Coturnix japonica: one gene and its partners. The protein of the gene in region 2 purifies or fractionates together with the protein of the main gene of each other region. This does not show direct contact. Links are inferred from orthologs where the notes say so. Each region holds a gene or a part of one and is shown on either strand. Other genes may lie near its edges.

The links.
Region 1: the proteins of SIRT6 (region 2) and G3BP1 purify together in Homo sapiens (affinity purification with mass spectrometry; 3 studies listed by BioGRID and IntAct, with this or other methods). This does not show direct contact. The link is inferred for Coturnix japonica from reciprocal best matches to the Homo sapiens genes SIRT6 and G3BP1.
Region 3: the proteins of SIRT6 (region 2) and USP48 purify together in Homo sapiens (affinity purification with mass spectrometry; 3 studies listed by BioGRID, with this or other methods). This does not show direct contact. The link is inferred for Coturnix japonica from reciprocal best matches to the Homo sapiens genes SIRT6 and USP48.

Annotation. Positions count from the first base shown.
Region 1 is NC_029528.1:5,172,850-5,176,494, reverse strand, and holds part of G3BP1 (ras GTPase-activating protein-binding protein 1), read right to left. Parts: intron 3,149-3,645; 5' UTR 3,130-3,148; coding exon 3,035-3,129; intron 2,440-3,034; coding exon 2,358-2,439; intron 1,171-2,357; coding exon 997-1,170; intron 226-996; coding exon 135-225; intron 1-134. UniProt on the Homo sapiens protein: Protein involved in various processes, such as stress granule formation and innate immunity. Plays an essential role in stress granule formation.
Region 2 is NC_029543.1:1,710,221-1,714,658, reverse strand, and holds the start of SIRT6 (NAD-dependent protein deacetylase sirtuin-6), read right to left. Parts: upstream 2,946-4,438; 5' UTR 2,864-2,945; coding exon 2,798-2,863; intron 2,130-2,797; coding exon 2,002-2,129; intron 1,631-2,001; coding exon 1,448-1,630; intron 1,292-1,447; coding exon 1,232-1,291; intron 668-1,231; coding exon 572-667; intron 335-571; coding exon 254-334; intron 92-253; coding exon 1-91. UniProt on the Homo sapiens protein: NAD-dependent protein deacetylase, deacylase and mono-ADP-ribosyltransferase that plays an essential role in DNA damage repair, telomere maintenance, metabolic homeostasis, inflammation, tumorigenesis and aging.
Region 3 is NC_029536.1:5,729,792-5,733,436, reverse strand, and holds part of USP48 (ubiquitin carboxyl-terminal hydrolase 48), read right to left. Parts: intron 2,884-3,645; coding exon 2,769-2,883; intron 2,645-2,768; coding exon 2,514-2,644; intron 1,207-2,513; coding exon 1,135-1,206; intron 1-1,134.

The DNA of each region.
Region 1 (3,645 bases), on a different chromosome or scaffold from region 2:
ACAGGCAAGAAAAGACTCGGAACACCAAAAAGATGAATGCTGTAAAAAGAGACCTCCTGTAGTCTGGAAACAAAACATGAAACAGACCCAGGAACAAACACCAAAGGAAATACATGGAGTCTGCTGGTGCTCACCTTCAGGAGGTTCAGTGTCAGAGTCACCAAAAACTTCATCTTGGTAGCGGAAGATATCATTGTGGACATAGAATTTGTTTGCAACAGAACCCTAGAAGAAAAAAGGGGGAAAACTAATTACATTGACTGCAATATCAAACTGAAGTAACAAAACAAGAACAGCTGAAGAAAGTCACCCGTCCCCCACAAATATAAAAGATCAATCCAAACTTGCCTCCTTTAAAAAAGTGCACTATGCAGATAAAAGGACACCTTGTGCTAGGAAGTCAAGCATGTGTGAAACAACAGGAAGTTTAATGCTTTTTATTCTTATAGTTGATGAAGTATTAAGCAGAGCATTATGTGATTCAAGGTTTTAATTCTTAGTCCTAGACCAACCTGAAAAAATAAGGTGAATTTGCAATCCTCCCCTTTTTCCATTTTCCTTTTGTCCAAAAATGTGTATTTTGAAAGCCACCTCAATGCCATGTAAGCACTTTACCGAACAAGACAATCTAAATCCTGTCTTCAAGGGGCAGAAAGCAGTTTATTCTTCCCTCTTTTTCCAATACAAGGACATGTAGCCAGGAAGGCAAACTAAGGACAGAACCAACTTAAAGCATACATAAGGAAAAAAAAAAGTTGTAGATATCAAGAAGCCACACATCAGGGTATTTACATCTGTAATTATGATACCCAAGGCTAATTGATGAACATGCAGAAGTAGCACAAACTCCCTAAGAATTTGCAGAGTTCTCCTACAAAAACATGTGGTAAACTACTTTCCCAATGCAACACTGGAGATTCCAACACCAAAACAGGCCTCAAACTTTGACATGATGGTATAAGCACTGCAGTAATGTTATCACTCAGTATAGCATACCTCAGGTGCAAGCACAAATGTTTGCATGAACCTGCGCACGGGCTGCATGTTATTGGAAAGCTCTCCCATCACCTGCACTACAACACCATCATTGAGAGTAGCATGGGCATCCACGTGACGGATCTTTGTGTGGCAGTCCTTGAAGTTTAATGACAGCACCTTCTTGTGGATATCCTATAAAGGACAGAGTACAGGTTATACTGTAAGAGTCATTTCTGCTAAATTAGCAGCTTCCAAGGAAAGAAGGAAAAAAACCAAAAACATATATTTCCCAAACATAAACAAGAAAGTTTAACAGCAAGCACTAAGTTTGCTCTGCAAGCATTTTACACTACGAACTTCAAAAGGAAGCATATTTTGATTAACTATTGCTGTGTAAAATTAGGTAGATGTTTCTTTCCTTTCACAGAATGCCCTAGGTTGGAAGGAACCTGAATCTCCAGCCCCCTTGCCACAAGCAGGGCCACAAACCTCCACATTTAATACTAGACCAGGCTGCCTAGGGTCCTGTCCAACCTGGCTTTGAACACCTCCAGGGACAGGGCACCCACAGCCCCTCTGAGCAGCCGTTCCAGTACTTTACCACACTAGTAACACACTAGTCAGGTGAAGTAAAGAACTTCCCCTGACATGCAACCTAATTATTCTCTCCTTCAACTCAAAACCATTTCCCCTTGTCCTGCTGTTATCTATCCTTTTAAAGAGTTGACCCCCCTCCCATTTACAGGCTTCCTTTAGATGCTGAAAGGTTGCAATGAGGTCACCCTGCTGCCTTCTTTTCTCCAGGCTGAACAAACCCAGCTCCCTCAGCCTGTCCTCATAGGGGAGGCGTTCCAGCCCTTTGATTACCTTTGTGCCCTCCTCTGGACACTCTCTAACAGCTGTCTTTCTTGTACTGGGCGCTGTACACAGCACTCCAGATGGGGCCTAACATGAGCAGAGTAGAGAGGGACAATCACTTCTCTGTCCCTGTTGCCCCCCCCTTCTGATGGAGCCCAGGATACCATTTGCTTTCCAAGCTGCAAGAGCACACCACTGGCTCCTGTTAAGCTTTTCATCCACTAGGAGCTGCAGGCCCCTCTCTGCAGGGCTACTCTCAATTCTCCCTTCCAGTCTGAATAAAGGCCTAGGATCCATCTGACCCAAGTGCAAAACCTTGCACTTTGCTGGGTTGAACCTCATTAGATTCACTCAGGCCCACCTTTCAAATCTGTTGAGGCCCCTCTGAATGGCATCCCTTCCATCCACTATGTTTCTCTAGAGTAAGACACTTGACAAAGTGGATGAATCACAGCTGGATATGTGTCCCAAACACAAAGGAGAAGGTAGTAAATGATAGTAATTTTTCACCAAATACTTACAGACTGCCCATAGACTGCATCAGCAGGTTTTCCATTGGAATCCAAGCCACCATGGACATAGGAAGAGTTTTTCCCATAAAACCTATTGGAAATAAAGTTTCCCTGTGTAAGCTGTAGTGTTCAGATATGTCACGTACCCAAGCAATAACAGCCAAGACTGAAGTCTTCTCCCATATGAACTAGATGGCACAACCCTGTTCTCCTTATCCTGCTATAAAGAAACATTACCCTGGACACAGTGGACACTGGAGGCCGTCCTCAAGCTCTGGCTTCAAGTTTGAGGCAAGAAGCAGTATCTGCCAGCATTAATTAAAGCAGTGCAGGTAAGTTACCCATTTTATAACTAGGGCTTTATAACTGAAGCCAAGTATCAGGGAACTGCATTCTGATGGCAGATAAAATCTGGAACTCAAGTTCACAGTATGCACTAAACTTTCCTCTCAGCCAAACAGATTAGTCTGCCCACTTAAATAGAAAAAAGGTCTAAAAAGTCTTTCTTAACAGTTGAGATTAGAAGGAAGGCTTCAAAAAACTGCTTGAATACCAGCTCAAAGCACAATGAAATACCTTCAAAAAGGAATCTAAGACACAGGAATAAGTTTATTTACTGATTTTTTTAACATACAATTTAAGGAAATCACACAAAAACTGATCACGAAGTGAAGCAAGAGCTTTACCTGTGCAAATAGTCAGGTGCCTGGTTCAGCAGAGTGTAGTACTGCCTCACAAACTCCCGCCCGACCAGCAGGGGACTTGGCTTCTCCATCACCATTTCTTTGGTCAACTGAAAACTAAAGAAAAGCTCTATCAAACAGTAGCATTTTTGTGTTGCTGTTCTCATGCAGACAGCGTAAGCCACATAATCACAGTAGAAAGCACACACCAAAACCTATTAGCAGTTTTACACGGTAAGCAGTTTAACCAATGTATTTTCAGAGTCATCAATCTTTGGGGCTGAAGAGAGGGAGAAGACTGCTGGGGAGCAAACCAGCTGTGGGAGAGGCTGCACAGCAAGGGACATTACCTCATAGGATGACTAAATGTTGGAATGCTATGTGCCCTCAGCAAAATGCAGGTAGCAAACAAGCGTGGTTCTCCAAGAGGATTTGCTAAGTATCTAAGTCATTTACAGTTGATCCAAGTTCTACTTACCTCACTTGACTTCACAATCAGAATTAAAAGTCATATGTTTCAAAGTAAAGCCTGTGCTACTGTATTAAGGGCATTTATAAAAGGTCAGAAGAAGTCCAATCTATTTTGGTCAGCAGTGCAGCACTTGCTGCTGGGG
Region 2 (4,438 bases):
CTTCCCTCCTCTCTTCTTTGTGATCAGTGGGAGGTTGCCACTGGGTTTGATCTGCAGAGAGGTCCCCAGTGTAACAGAGAGATCAGCTTTTCTGCAGGGAGGAGATAAAATATCCAAGAGAGAAAGTAAGAAAAATAAAACCCAAGGGCTGCTTGCTGTGGTACTGGCAGAATGCAAAGGGCATAGACACCCTCCTGGGTCATTGCAAGCTGCAGCAATCAGCAGTCATGATATTCAATTCTAAATATGGTACCTGCAGGCTTCATCTGCTAGTGTGAGGTCACGGTCAGGCAGGGAATCTTCCCAGTCCAGAATAGTGTCTCTTAACTTCCCTCTATAAGAGACACAAGGACCACTGTTACCCTGCCAGGCAGGAATGGTCAGCAGAGATGGCTAGGAGACAAGTAACAGCTCTATAACCCAGACCCCCTGTCGCCCTGCAACACAAAATCTGAACATCAAAATCACTCACTCCTACCTCCCAGGTACTCTGTGTCCCCTCTTCATTTCACAGCACCCTGGGAAGCCCCATCCAGCACCCCTACTCCCATAGCTGCCCCAGCAGACGTACCTGCAGGCCCGTAGCCCTCGTGCTTTGGTGACGCTGCACAGCCTGCCCGTTGGCTTCAGCCCCATGCTGCCCACAACAGCATCCCGCACGTACTGCCTGCACACACAAGAGATGGTGTTATTTACAGCCACACGTATAGGGTGACTCACAGCAGCCACACATAGAGAGGTGACACAGCTGTGAAACATCCCCACAATACAGCATGTTCCACATCACAGACACCTGGGAGTGAAGGAAGCAGGTGATGGCTCAGAGCCACATGCAATGAGCTGGGCACCCAAATCCTTCATCAATTTCAAACCACAGCTATTGCTTACAATAATTTCCCTTTTAGGGAGCTTTGAACATCAGCTCCAAGGCCAAGAGAGGCTGTTACCATCCAGGATGCAAAGCCCAGCCTGCAGCAACCTTCTGTTACCTCTCTAAGCAGGCAGCCTCACTTGCCACAATGAGCAGAGGGTTTCCCAGGCAACAGAGGTTTCTCAAAATGTTTATTTCCCACAATATGACAGGGTTTGTGATTCAGATGGGACAGATCTGACCATGATTCCATGCACTCTGCACTAGGGACCTCTCCTGACAGGCAGCCCCAGGTCTGTGCAGTCCCTCCACTGTTCCTTAGGACAACAACAAAGCCCCCACCTGCTGCTGCCCACGTACTTGCCACATTTCGTGCACTCCTCCACAAACATGTTCCCGTGGAGCTCAGCCAACTTGTCCCTGTGAGAGAAATGACAGAAATGAATGGAGAACACCTTGTGCATTTAACACAAGAAACATTGTTCCAGGGTGGTTTAATAAGGTAGGGAGAACAGCCATGCTTTGGCATCTGGGAGAGACTAAAGGAACCTGGAGGCAGGGTGGGAGAGGCAGTACCGTGGGAATCCTGAGCGCACATGAAGGCCATCCACGTTCTGGCTGACCAGGAATTTCAGGATGCCGACTCTCTGCAGCCCCAGAAGTGCCATGTGAGTCTTGGAGGGCCTGGCGTTCTCAAAGGTGGTGTCAAATTTGGGGGAAAGCCCCTTCTCTTCCATAGTCCAGACACCATTAGGCCCCCTGCAGCAATGGGACAGGAGAAGGAATAAGTGAGATCTCAGGCTCTGCTACGCTGCTTGTAAATGCATCCCAAGCCCTATCAGTGCAAGCAAGGCACTGCTAAACAAGGACCACACATTCCTGGTTATTTTAGTTCAAAATGCATGTAGGGCTTCTGTGGGTACAGTTTAAAATCAAAACAGGAAAAGGTAGATTCAGCTGGATATAGGACAAGACAAGAGCAAAGAGGACATGAAAGGATGGCACAGGTCTCCCTATAGGCAGGATGGCTGGCAGGAAGCCCAGCCTAGATGGAAGATGGACTCAGATGAGGTGCTGTTGTGTCCCCCCCCCCCCACACACACACAGTGCCTGCTGCCCTCTGCCTTTACCTGAAGTCAGGGATCCCTGAAGCGGTGCTGATACCAGCCCCTGTGTGGAACACCACATTGGAAGAGCTCCTTATCAAGTCTGCCAGCTCACACACCTTCCTCTCCAGCTCTTCAGGTGGATCAAAAATCTGAGCAGAAGAAACAAATCCCAACGTGAATGGGGATATAGAAATGGGTCCTACATGCCTCCTGGTAGGCACAAAGAGTCAGCAAACCACTCTTCTATCACATCCACAATGGAAACCCCACGCAGGAAAGGAAATTTCACATTGCTTAATGCCAAATGTACATAATGAGGGAATAAGGCTTAAAATGAGGGAATAAGGCTTAAAAAGAGCAGGATGGGGGACAGCGATGGATGGGGGTCATGGGCCCATTCTGATTTTTGGCACAGCACAAATTCATTTCTATAGGACGGTTCTTTGCTCCCTAGAATGGGACAGAACTCCGACCCTTTTACAGCCCCATATCCTCACCCCAAAGCTTTTCTTAAGCTTATTGAGCATGAATGTGGGGGTTGGGGGGGACATAGGGATGGGGTCAGCCCAGTAGTGCCCACCCCAAGGTAAAGGGCCGGCCCTAAAGAATAAAGGGGACACGAAGACGGGGTGACAACGGACACAGAGCAATAGGAAGAAGGGAACGGAGGCCGGGACCGGGGAACCCAAAGACCCCATGGTGCTTGGGGTCCCCATGGGGCACAAGGCCTATGGAGGCCTTGGGGTCCCCATGGAGGCCCTATGGAGGCCTCGCAGGCCTCAGGCTATGCAAGGAGATCCCTCCACTCCGCTCTCACCTCGGGGAGGCCGCATTTGCCTTTATCCGAGTAGGGCGAGAGCCCGGCCGCGTAATTCACCGCCATGACCCGTCCCGGCTACCGGAGAGCTCATTGTTGTCGGTCCGCGAGCAAGGAGGCCGCGGCATCAGTGCGCATGCGCAAAGGCCTGCCTAGAGTAGGCCGCAGCCTCAAGACGCATGCGCAAAGCACTGCCTAGAGTAGGCCGCAGCCTCAAGACGCATGCGCAAAAGTCACGCCTAGAGAAGTCCTCGCCGCCATCTTTGTGTTTGGCAATAGGGAGCTCTGCCCTCACCCTGCTAATACATCCATTATAAAACATAGAACTTGGAGTGGAAAAAGACAAGGAGCTGCCTATGCTAAGAGGTGCCATGCAATGAGTGCATACAAAGGCAGAGGGCATCAGCTCTGCTGGCCTCAGCCATGTCTTACAATACCTTGTCTTACAATGTCTTGTCTTAAAATGCCTTGTCTTACAATGCCTGCAGACCTAGATCCATAATAGGGCTGTGATAGAATGGCTTAGGTTGGACAGGACCTTAAAGATAATCTAGTTCTACTCCCATACACTGGTCAGGGTTACCAGCTGCTGGGTTATGATCCCCAGGATCCCACCCAGCCCTGAGTGCCTTCAATTGGCATCCCCAACTTCTAACCAACCTGTTCCAGCATCTCCCTGCCTTATGAATGAAATATTTCTCCTTAACACATAACCTGAAGCATCGTGATGGTTTCAAACCCTTCTCTCCCTCATCTGAGGCTTCCCCAGCCTTGCTATAGTACCCCCTCCCTTGCAGCTGCCCTGTGTCTGGGTGCAGGGGTTTCAAGGATGTCAGTGCTCCTTGCCCTGCCTGGTGCTGGGCCCTCCCATGTTCCCCCCCCCCGGGCTGTAACTGCAGAGGTAACCCAATGCCAGTGTGTGTGTCCCCCCCCCCGTGTCGTGCTGTGGGCCAGCAGCAGTGAGACAAGGTACAGACAGGGCTGGTGTTGAGCTGGACCCGTAGCAGCAGCAGAAAAGCCTTCAAAGCTGCCCTCTGCAACAGCCACATCCCTACAGCCTGACCCCAGCGGGCAGATGAGGCTTTAAGGCTCAACCCAGGTACCACGGGACTGCTATGAAGAGCCTGAAGGCCAAGTTCAGGAAGGCAGATGTAAGTGCTGTCCCCAAGGACATAGGGATGTGTCCTGGGTTGTCCACAGGGATGTGGGGATCTGCCCTGGGGTGTCAGTGGGTTTCGTGGGGGTATGGGGACACAGAGATCTGCCCTGGGATGTCCCATGGGGACATGGGCACCTGCCCAGTGACCCAGCTTCCACTGGGATCATAGTTGTGAGCAGGGCAGAATAAAGGAAGGGAAAGCAGCACCGAGGAGAGGTGAATGTGTCCCAGATCCTGTACCCATTTCTGTCCTATGGGATGCAGGGATGGCTGCCAGCTTTCCAGCCACAGCAACCAGATTGGGTTCCCACTTTGAAGCCAGCAAGTCAATGCTCCTTAATTATTCAGCACCAGACTGGCACAATGCTGCATATTCCTGCTGTTCTCCAGGCTGGGAAGAAGGTGACAGTGCCGTCCCCACTGCCTATGGCAGCACCAGGGGGATGTGTAGGTGGAGGAGCCTGTGCATTTTGGGGTTCCCT
Region 3 (3,645 bases), on a different chromosome or scaffold from region 2:
AGCTGGGAGGGGAGATGCCTGGAGAAGCAAGGACTGCAGTGGGGGCACCAGGCTGCTGCTCTCCGACCATGGCTACAGAGCTGTGAGGTCAGGGTGACTCTGTTTTGTGGGCTGCAGACAAACCCATGCCCTGTGGAAGAGGAGCTGAGTGCTTCCTGCAGCCTCAGCGAACAAAATCTCTGCTGCATAACCTCAGCTGCCCCACGCACCATACAGCCAGCAACCCATAAAGGCATAATTACCCTACCGACACCTCAGCCCATACGCTGCAGAGGAACATCTGAAGCATGCAGAGGTGAAAGGGGGCTGTTCTCCACAAGGAGCCAAAGGTTACCTCCAGCAGGTGAAACAAAACCTGCCAGGCGCCCATGTGCTCCAATATGGCCCAAAGTATCAGATCAATGAGCAGCTGAGCAGCGTAACACTGCCACAACCCCAGCAGCCTGCTTCCACGCTGCTTGCCGGCATTAGGTGCTCCTGTTTGCCAGCAGCAGTTTTTCTGCACTGGGAACAACTCTCTCTGAAAAGCAGGTAGTGCTGCGACAAACTGTTCAAACACCATTACCCTACAGCCTTGATGAGCCCTAATGACAGGAGGTGTGCTGCTAATTGATGGATGCCTGCCAACAGGAGCCTCCAGCAGAACACAGGCAGGTCGGGCAAGCAGTGAGATCCAAGCAGCAGCATAGCTAACCAAGCAAAGCACGGAGCAAAACAGCCAACATCAGGTCACAACCTGATGTAAGTGGACACCAAAGCACAGCAGGTGGGGGAATCAATATGCCTGGGTGCCCCGGATGCAAATAGAAACAGTGGATTTTCTGCAGCTGTGGTGGTAAGTGCTTCTGATACAGGGAGAACAACCTGACGCTGTCTGCTTTCTCTAGCATCTCCCACTGCTCTCAGAGCAATGCTGCAGCCCCACGCAGCACCCACGTTCCTCTTCAGGGGCTGGGCTGTGCTCGTGCCCTTTGCACCACTTGCTTCATGTTTTTTAATGTCAGGAAATGTGAAAATGAGAATAACAACATGTTTCTGTGGTAACTGCTCATGCTGGTCCCAGGCTAAGAGGTGAACATCTGGAACAGTGGGCAACAACAGAAGTGTTCAGCTCCGTCCCCCGCAGAGACTTACCATGTGGGCAAACAATGTCCTCATTAAAATTTAACTCTTCTTCCTCCTCTCTCTTTTCCTCGTTCGCTTCATCTAATTAAAAAAAAAAAAAAAAAAAAGAAAAATTAAGAAGATTGTATCATTTCTCACTGAAGAAAAGGGGAAACCTTTGGGGGGAGGAGTCTGGTTTCTCTTCAGCAGAGCTCTCAGCCCAGGGGAAACCTGGGAAGTGTTATTCTGTTCTTCTCCAACACATGGGCCTGTGCCTGCAGGCCAGGCTGCATGGAGTGCTTTGAAGCGCTTTGAAGCACGTGGAGCACAAGAGCATCTTTTGTGATATGACAAAGGGTGCATTTGTTCCAGCTGCAGCACCACAGGGCTTCACTGCTCAGAGCTAACTCAAACCTCTAGGCGAGGGCTGAGCATCACAGCACAGTGTGCTCTGCTCCACGCTCTGATATCCAGCGTGAGCATTGCTACACTGGAGTTCAGAACTGCTCTGCAGACAGAAGCATTGGCCATTGAGTGAGAGTAACAGAAAAACCAGCAACATCACAGTGCAGCAATGTGACGAAGGAGCAAGCTGGCTCGTGAGCAGTTACAGTGCACTTCTGGGAGGTCACCTTGCTCTCAGAGCAGGCTGCACCCCCACGAAACGGCACGTGGGACGACCCCTCAGCTGCTGACGCAGGGAAGAGAAGTGCCCTTTTCTCAGTGGATGCCACAAGCCCCAGCAGCAGCCTACAGACAGCATCACTGCAGTATCTGATGTTCTCAGAGCCTTCCAGCCCAAGATCGATGCAATTAACTGATCTCCACTTCCATTCAAATGAGCTCCTTGCCCTCAGTTATGAAAGGAAAAAAGGATTCAAAAGGAATCAGGTTTCTAATGGAAAGTAAATAAAATAACAGAAGGCAAATAAAAATCCCCACCAGTTGTTACAAACACAATACACGGATAGAACAGAACCCAACGCATGGTATTTTTTTCTAAGCCATGTTTTGCCAGTGCTGCTCCACCAGCTGTGCTGTTTCATCCGTAGGCCTTTGCAGTAAACATCCCCAAGATAATGTTCATGTTTCTTCCTTCCCCTGCACACTCTCATTCAGATAAAAGGAGATGAAAAGATCACGTGCCTGGGGTGGTAATTGTACACAGCTCTGTAAAACTACTTATTACCTCATCTTCTTCTCTGGGTACGAAGATCACCTGGCAGTTTTGAAGCTTATCAAATAAAAAGCTCCTGAAATTAAGGCTGTGTGATATCAAACCACCCAAAGTGCTTTCCCTCCCCGCTCATAAAAGGGAAGTAAAACAACACACGCCAGAACACCTGACGTGTCTTTTGTTAAGGGGGGAATCAGTCAGAGCTGGCAGAGCTCTACAGCAGCAGAACTACCTTTGTTTGGTGTGTTTCCATTCAGTTTCCCATTGCTGTGCTCTGCGTCTTCGTCTTGCTCATTTAATTGCTCCAGAGCCAACTGACGCCAGCTCCGCAAGGACGCCTTTCCAACCCAAAACCCATCGCTCCTGCAGGGAAACAGCAGCGTTAGAAATGCAAGTCACAGCCCAAGTGGTACAGCTAACTTAGACATTAGTTAGCACAGCTAAAAACACGTTGGCAATGTGTCTGATGGCACCAGGACTCACGTACCCCTTGACTGTTATCTTCAGCAAGCTGGTTACAGTTTTGTAGTCTTCGTTTAGCTGGTTTTTCAGACGCAGGATTCGACATCTTTCTACCACACAATCCTTGCAAAGTGCTTTGACTGGGATGAGGGAGGAAAGAAACACTGTTATGCTTCAAGCATGCTCAGCTCAGCATCTAGCTGGTTTGAGAACTCAGAGATGTGGAAGGTGTGCATCGGTCACTGTGCATCACAACCTGAGATGTGGCATGTAAGCAGGGGAACTGCCACAGTACAACTCCTCAGCTGAGGTGCTGTCTGTTCTGCCAGCTGGCTGGTGCCAGAATGAAGAGAGCTGTGAGGGAGCTCACACTGACACTTGGATGTGGGAGGCAGAAGGCAGGGGGCTGAGGCATGTACCCCAAAGGCTGCGTCACTGCCCTTCTGTGGCACAAAGGTACAGTGCAGACACCTCCAAGGAGTTTCATGGGATGAGAGGGCTCCCTGCCACCCAGTGCAGGGAACTCCAGCCAGCAGCCAGCTAATAGCACAGAAAAGCTCCAAAACTTCTGTGATGCTGTACTGATCCAGAAGCAGGGGCAGCCCTGCATGTGGCCTTGCACCTTTGGACAGGAGCAGGGGGGTCACAATCAAATCCTTCCCTCTCCATCATCCTCAATGAAGAAACTGCAGGTGATTTTCCAGCTGACTGATAACGGCTGCCCTTTTTTTACAAGGCCTGCCTGCATCACAGAATGTTCTGCCGGCTGTATTTCTTCCCTATAAGTGCCTAGCAGGAGCCAAGCTAATTTGGTCTCAGTGGGAGCTACTGAGCTCCTTTATAAAAGGAACCAAGCCTGGAGCTCAGTTCAGAGATGCCCAGGGACAGCAGAGGCCAACCCT